Ovis aries: one gene and its partner. The protein of the gene in region 1 binds, or shares a complex with, the protein of each later gene. Links are inferred from orthologs where the notes say so. Each region holds a gene or a part of one and is shown in the gene's direction. Other genes may lie near its edges.

The links.
Region 2: the proteins of SEC31A (region 1) and PDCD6 are in contact, whole or in part, in a crystal structure (PDB 3WXA), measured with the Homo sapiens proteins. The link is inferred for Ovis aries from reciprocal best matches to the Homo sapiens genes SEC31A and PDCD6. Residues at the interface, in NP_001070675.1 of Homo sapiens: Asn837, Pro838, Pro839, Pro840, Pro841, Gly842, Phe843, Ile844, Met845; in NP_037364.1 of Homo sapiens: Val31, Val35, Leu48, Ala51, Leu52, Ser53, Asn54, Gly55, Thr56, Trp57, Phe85, Trp89, Ile92, Gln96, Phe99, Phe148.

The regions. Positions count from the first base shown.
Region 1 is NC_056059.1:98,378,430-98,381,988, reverse strand, and holds part of SEC31A (protein transport protein Sec31A), read left to right. Parts: intron 1-47; coding exon 48-224; intron 225-2,628; coding exon 2,629-2,721; intron 2,722-3,392; coding exon 3,393-3,519; intron 3,520-3,559. UniProt on the Homo sapiens protein: Component of the coat protein complex II (COPII) which promotes the formation of transport vesicles from the endoplasmic reticulum (ER).
Region 2 is NC_056069.1:71,839,071-71,843,352, reverse strand, and holds the start of PDCD6 (programmed cell death protein 6), read left to right. Parts: upstream 1-1,448; 5' UTR 1,449-1,508; coding exon 1,509-1,603; intron 1,604-2,357; coding exon 2,358-2,419; intron 2,420-3,010; exon of another isoform or gene 3,011-3,069; intron 3,070-4,282. UniProt on the Homo sapiens protein: Calcium sensor that plays a key role in processes such as endoplasmic reticulum (ER)-Golgi vesicular transport, endosomal biogenesis or membrane repair.

The DNA.
Region 1 (3,559 bases):
TGAACTCTGTAATAATTTGCTTGACTTTCTTCCATTGCTTCTTATAGCCAAATATTGTGCAGCTTCGAGACAGACTTTGTAGAGCACAAGGAGATCCAATACCAGGACAACAGGAATCACCCAAAATTCCTTATGAGAGGCATCAAGTGCCCAAGAGCAGGCCTGGACCTGTTGCTGGCCACGCACAGATGCCAAGAGTTCCAGCTCAACAATATTATCCCCATGTGAGTGATGCGGTCCAGACTAAGTAGGAACGTTTATGGATGTCACATTGGTGGTTTTAGTTTGTTGGGGAAAAGGCCTGTGATGAAACTATAGACAACATACTGTTTTAATGGTTATAGTTTTTCTATTCTTGAAAGTAGCATTTATGATCCATTTTTTAAAATTATCCCTCTAATCTAGTCAAATAATTGATAAATTAGATATAATTAATTTAAGCTAGGGAGATTTCTTATTTCTCCATCACTCAAACATATTGCACATGTACGTCTGAAAATTTTTACAATTTGATTCATCTAACAAACTGTAAGTAAAGTGGGAACAATTTTGTGGGTGACTTGGTTACTTTCTTTTAAAACATTTTTAGAAAATAGTCTTTTTTAAAGGTATATTTTCTGAGTCACTAGTGTGGGTGTTCTGTGTCTTCATTATCAGCACAATAGAGTATGCAGAATCCAAGTTGTTTTTTTTAACAACTTGTAAAGAGAAAAGCGAATGACCAAAGGTTTGTGAAGTTGTAGGTCATGGGCAGTGCGAAGTGTTTATTAATTAACTCACTTATTTCTTAAATAAAAATTAGCAAATGGTTAGTGGTATAAAATGGGGCCTCTTATTATCTTTTGCTATTCCATGTAGAAACTTGTATTTCCAGGCCAGATAACCTTCATGTTCTTAAATAAAATTTATTTTCAGAAGTAATAAATAGTCTTGATTTTATAACAAAGTTAGCAGGTACTCTGCCCATTTTAAAATAGAACAGATTGCTAGTAGAATTGTTGGAGTCATTTTTACATTTTGTTGTAGCAAAAGTAAGCATAAAACTGTAAAAACTGAAAAAGATTCATGCTTTTTTGTCAGTTATGCTTTTGCTTGGTACTTAATCAAGATTGGTTACATTTGAATATAATTATAACTATCTGTACTACTCTGCTTTGATTTTTTTTTGATTCATTTGACAAATACAAATTAAGCGCCTGCCTGTATTCTCCCTGTTGAGGGTATGTTGGTAGGCAAAACAACAAATTCCCCACTCTCACTGCTAGTCTTAGAAAGCCTGTAACATAGGGAGGGCACGTCAGGTGATGGCTGGGAAGCTGAGAGGTGGTGGAGAAGGCAGTCACTAATCAGGATTTTAAGACATCAATTTGTCAGCTAGGTAATAGTTAACAGGATTAGAACTCCTCAGCTCAGCACCTTGAGTTCAACCTCTCAGGGCACTGAAGTAAGGCATTATCTTCTTTGGGAGAATACAAGTTTACTCCCTGAATCCTCGAGTTTATCTCTCTTTCAGGGAAAATATGGAAACCTTAAAAGACTTTTGTTATACTTTGACCTAGTGGTCCGCTACTTTAAGAAAAGGAAAACAAGTTCAATCATAAACTAAGAGTAGTTTTTCTTGATTAAAGCTTATGGTGTGCTGAATGAGGGCAGTGGCTTGTGGTTTTATTATTATTATTTTTTTTTTCGACAGCCCCGGGGTCTCCCGGCGCTCGCTTCTCCACCAGGCTGCCTGGGCGCTGGCCCTTTCTCTCCCGGCTTGTGGTTTTAAAGGCAGGCTTACAAGCAGGAGTAAAAGGATGAAAGGGAAGCCAGATCAGGAGTTCTGACTGCGACCAGCACACCTTGGCTATTAATTGTTGATGTGATTGAGTTTCTACAAAGATTTACTTGACAAAAATTATTTTGATGGCTTTAAAAATTGATTTTGAAAGCCTCTGGACTCCAGGGTATAAGCAACACGGTGCAGTGTAGTGAACACTGGCTGGGAGTCAGGAGATGTGGAATCAGCTCTAGCTCCATCACCCCAAGTTGTCTGGACCTCAGCCAGCTCCTTCATTTCCCTGGGCCTTGTTTTTATCTCCATGGTAAATGGTGGGAATTAGATGAGATGATCTTTAATATTCTCCGATTGTATGACTCTAAGCCTCATACAGAACTAACATGATTTTTGTAGCTCTAATGAAGTCCTGAAAAGGGAAGCATACAGCAGCAATATGTCCACAGATATAATCATAGCATGAATACAATTACAGCTTCAAAAATCACTTTTTTCCTCAATAACTGCCCACCTCCACCCCCCAGAATGTCTTCTTTCTTTGCCTACTTACAGAACGTACCTTTCCCCACGTACTCCTGACACTTGAATGGCATTGTTCTCTGTGCTCTGATTTCGTTTTCGTATTGATTTTTCTGCTGTCTCCCTCTGCCTGTCCTCTTCAGACTGTGTTTTCTTTTGGAATCCCAGCTGCCCTGAAACCAGTTGCCTGGCTAGTGTGTGCTGCCGCCTCACTGCTTTCTCGCTTTGCGTCTGGCTGTTAGTGCCTTCAGGGATTTTTTTTTTTTCTTCTTCTTTTAACATTTTCATTTTTTTATGTTCTGTGATTGGTATTTCTTTGTTCAATTCAGGTTAGAATTGCCCCCACTGTCACTACCTGGAGTAACAAAACTCCTACCGCCCTTCCCAGCCATCCACCTGCAGCCTCTCCCTCTGACACACAGGTATATCCTTCATTATCCCTCTTTGAGCAGAGTTCTGCTCACCTGAATATGTATGTAGTTATGTATCTTCTACCCACCTTCCTTGAGTTTCCCACCCCCATCTGTTTGTCTGCTTATTGCATTTTAGTGCTTTTGGGAGGCAAGAAACAGGTGTTTTTGTTTGTTTGTTTTTGTTTGTTTGTTTTGTTTTTAGCACAACTTGAACTAAAAAAACATCAACCAGGGTTCTATCAATGGTTTAAATCTAATTTCACTGAAGATTTTTTTCCCTTTCCTTTTCTTCTTCTTTTCTTTTTTTCCCCCCTGTTTTTAGCATTGCAAAGAAGAAAAAAAAAAATTCCCGTGTGGCATGTATACTTACTTCCCAAAGCATTAGATACGGATGGAATTTAGTAGAGATGGAAAATCCTAGTGACTTTTTATAAATATCATCGATACTATTTGATGAGGCTGTTAGCATCTCTTGCCATTCATCACTGTTATTACTTTGGACCTGTCTAATCTTTAAATCAAGTAGAATGTGTTGCTCAGAAAACATCAGTATGCATAGAATGTAACTTTTTTTTTACATAAGATTTTTTTAAAATTTCATTTCAGAGATTATAAATCCGTCTGGTAAGATTCTTGGTTCTGAAGGTAATCTTCCTTTTTACCATATTCTCATTGCCTAGGGAGAAAATCCTCCACCTCCAGGCTTCGTAATGCATGGAAATGTTAGTCCGAATGTTGCTGCCGCTCAGCTTCCCACATCTCCAGGTCACATGCACACCCAGGTACCACCTTATCCACAGCCACAGCGTAAGTAGCGTGACCCCGAAGTCCTGTCACAGCAGCATGT
Region 2 (4,282 bases), on another chromosome or scaffold:
AAGAGCTGTGGAAAACTGTAGAAAGGATTAGTCAGCAAGTGATGTGAATGCTTTCAGTTTAGTTCAGTCGCTCAGTCATGTCCGACTCTGCGACCCCATGAATCGCAGCAAGCCAGGCCTCCCTGTCCATCACCAATTCCCGGAGTTCACTCAGATTCACGTCCATCGAGTCAGTGAATGCTTTAGGAGGATAAAACTAGAAAGCACTTGAATTCATTAAGTCATGAAAAAAGCCACATTGTTGAGGTTTGTAGAGTAATAATCTGTGTGAGTGCCCAAATCAGAATACTTTAATCTCTTTGAAGAGTTTAAAGAACTCTCCAGCATATGGTCTGGTGGTTAAAGGGGGCTGAGGACAATACAATTGGAGACTAACAACAGGTCAGATGCAGAGCCCTGGAAAATGAAAGTGGAGGTCGCTCAGCCGTGTCCAGCTCTTTGGGACCCCGTGGGCTATCCAGTCCATGGAATTCTCCAGGCCAGAATACTGGAGTGGGTAGCCTTTTCCTTCTCCGGGGGATCTTCCTAACCCAGGGATCAAACCCAGGCCTCTCTCATTGCAGGCGGATTCTTTACTAGCTGAGCTACAAGGGAAGCTCAAGAATACTGGAGTGGGTAGCCTATCCCTTCTCCAGCAGGTCTTCGGGACCCAGGAATCGAACCAGGGTCTTCTGCAGAGCTTTGGAGTGCTGAATAATGAAATCCCTTCAGGAAAGGAAGGATCAGGGGCTTCCCTGGTGCTCGGCCCTTCCACAAGCTAAGCAGGGGAGGAAGATGAACCAAGTCAGCGGGATTGCATCAGCAGCTCAACACTTTTGCGAGCCTGGAAGGCGGTGGGAGAGCCCTGAAGCTGGGCTTCCCTGCGCAGAGGGCGCTGCGGCTCAGTCGAAGTCCGGACGGAGGCGGTGGCGTCTTCAGCTGGCCGGAGGGACACGCTGGCCGCCCACCACGGTCAGCAGGGGACATCAGGGCCTGGTCACGCACGTGCAGACCGAGCTGGGGAGCTCCAGGCCCTGTCAGACGCCGGAGGGGGCGTCGTGTGGTACCGAGAAGAAAGCGGGTGTGGGGAAGGAACGCAGAGAAGCGGGGCAGGGGCCGGGCGAGGAGTCCGGAAAGCACAGGAGTCTGGCGCGTCCTCCGCTCCATCACCGCCCTTCCATGGCCTTCATTTGGTGCAAGGACAGTCCATGCTCGAAGGAACTGCCCCCGCCCTTCACGTCCACTCTGTGCCTCGGGAGAAGCAGCTCCCACGCGCGTCCGTGATCCTGGAGGCCGCGTGGCCTCGGCCAGCGGCTCCGAGCCTCTCGCTGGACCCTGACACGCTGGCCGGACGCGGGGGCGTTGCCTGGCAACGGGGCAGCGACGGGATTGGCCGCGCTCGCTCCCGTGACCGCCCCGGAAGTGGCGCGCCCGGCCTCGCCCTCGCCGAGGCGGAAGTGGAGCCACCTGACGCCGCCCGCTTCCCGGCCGCCCCTCAGCCGCACCTCCGCCCTGCTGCGCCTCGGCCCATGGCCAACTACCCGTACCGCCCGGGCCCCGGCGCCGGCCCTGCCGGGGGCGCCGCGCTGCCGGACCAGAGCTTCCTGTGGAACGTCTTCCAGAGGTGCGGCCAGCCGGGCGGGCGGGCGGGCGCGGGCAGGCCTCCCCTTCCCTCGGTGTCAGCCCCGGGCCTTCCCCGTCCTGCCCCTCCGCCCGCAGTCCAGCCTCCCTCCTGGAGCCCTGGCCCCCCGGCCTGCTCCGTCCCCCGAGCTTTGACCTCCTCTCCGCCCCCGGGCACTTCCGGAGCGCAGAGCGGCCGCCCGGAGGCTCGGCCTCCGTCCTTCTACCCCCAGAGAGGGGCCTTTGCTCGGGGACGAGGGTCTCCCGGGGACGCTTATTCAGTTAGGGGAGCAGAAACGCGGGCTCGCCGTGGCTGCCTCAGCCACCAGGCGGGAAGCCAGGCCCTGGCTGTGCGCAGGGGACCGTCACCGCAGTGTCTTCGGTACCCGGTCGTCCTTCCAGCGAATCGGCGCCCCATGCTAGAGTGATTCAAGGTCAGGGAGTGACTTAGTTGTCTAAGAGAACCTTTTCCTGTTTGTGAAAAGGACAAGATCTGAATGGCATTCAGACAGGGTGTGGGAGAAAGGCTTAAGAGAAACGGAGAAGCAGCTTGGCCTTCAGCAGGGGGACCTCAGACAGTGAAGGAGACAGGCTTGCTTATTCCCCACCCGACTATGGGAGTGAGATAGTCTAGCAGCCAGAGGGAAAAGAGCAGGGAAATTAATTTAGGATTGACAGGAGAGTTAAACCTTGGTTCTGGTCCTGTGTTGCTTTGCCTGCACTTTGAATCACCAGTTTAACTGATCTTAATTTTGTAGGGTTGATAAGGACAGGAGTGGTGTGATATCTGACAACGAGCTTCAGCAAGCACTGTCCAATGGTGAGTGCACCTGGCCGTCTGGACTTGTGAACTGCCCGCCTGACCACCCATAGTGAACATCTTCTTTCCTAATCCCTGGCTTGTGGTGGAGGGCTTCCATCCTGGGCGTCCTGTCGGAGCTGCTCTGGGTCCTTGCGGAGCTGGGTGGGGCAGCTGCATGGAGGTCCCAGGGAAAGCCTGAGAGTTGGAGGCTGGGGTGTGAGCTCCAGGAGCACAGGGAGCCTGGCTTTGTACAGCAGATGGTCCTCCGGTTTATTGAAGGCTGTTGAATTTCTCTGGTGACGGTGTCTTGTGACTTGCGAGGCGGGGCACCAGGGTCCCACTGACGCCGAGGAAGTAACTGGGAATGCCGGTGGCCCTGCAGCCGGGTCTCGGGGCTCAGGCTTTTCAGTGGGTGAGTGCAAGTCATCCAGACAGGGGCAAGAGGGTCCCAGCTCTTTGTGCCAGTTCTGGGGGCACACCTTGGAGTCACCTTTTTGCTGGTCTCAGTGTGATTAATCCATTGACGTGGAGACCTTATTTCAGTGAATACCTGACTGTGTTGCCCTTCTTTTGATTCGTCAGACACCACTGTCTTTTTCTGGTCCTTAGATTTGTGGTGTCTTCCAGAGGGGTGCCATTTAAACCTGAAGAGGGATTGATTTTAAGAGGTAATGACGATGCTGAAAGGCTCACCCTTACCAGCGGGAGCTGGCTGGTGCTGTGGGAGGTGGACGGTGCCTCCCAGGCCTGCGCGTGGACTGGAAGGGAGGTGTGCCCCACTGTGGGTACTCCTCTGCTGCTGTTGGTGAAGGGTTGGTATTAAAATGATCACACAGGTGATACTGTCTCTAGAGGATGTCAGACCTGCCGCCATTTCAGCTGGTTGTTAAAGCAAATGGCTCTGTCGGAACACAGCGTTGAACCAGGAGCCTGCTGGAGACGGAGTGTGTTTAACCCAGCCACTGAGTGTATATCAGGGCCTGCTCTGGTGACCCTGTGGAGTCACATTTCTTGATTTGCCCTGAGGGGTTCCTCGGCTTCTGTTGGGGCTGGGTGAGAGCTTACTGGTAGTCACTGAGCCCAGAGGGAGGTAGGGACTCCCTCCCCCCCCTGCCGTGGCTGCCTCTCTCCTCCCTGGGGGTGTGCTGGTTTTTGTGTGGAGCAGCTTGTGATGGTTGTTTTACCTGTTTTGTGTGTATCTTATAAACTGTGATTTTTTTTTAACCAATCGCATTTTCCTCTTTAAATTAGCTGCTAAAATTTTTAAATTTCTGCCTCACCAGTGCCGCAAGCTGAGAATTTTCAGAGGTGAATTTCACTGATAGTCGGGGACCCCATGCTTTCTTAGGCTTTTGTCCCCCCATCCTGCATAACCAGAGGTTGCTCTGTTTTGCTGTGCTCTGAATATCTTCCTAGATTCAATTAGGCTTTTTCTGCAGGAAGTCTGGTTATGAGTGGGTACCGATCGCTAGTCCTTTCTCAGCCCCAGAACAGAGGTAGGTGGCACACTGGAATCAGGATGTGTGCCCGCATAGCTAGGCACTCCCCCACACCTGGTGCCGTCCCACCCGCCTCCTCCCGTTGGCCACCTGAAGGCACAGGCTGGCTGTGGCTCTGCTCCTCCTGCCAGGGTGCCCACCATTCCTCCGGGGCTGAGCGGCTCCTGTCTCTGCACTCATGGCCCCTCCCTTTTCTTGGGTGCTGCCTGTCTCCTCCTCTCGCTCTGCTGGGGTCGTCTCTGCAGCTGCGTCTGGCTCCTGGGCCTCAGCGTCCTGGAGGAAGTTCGAGCCGGTCTCCTGTTTCCAGTTGTGCTGTGTGTCCCGGCCTCAGTCCCTGAGGATGGACACGAGTCAGTTCTCTTCCTGCTCTTCAAATTCCCAG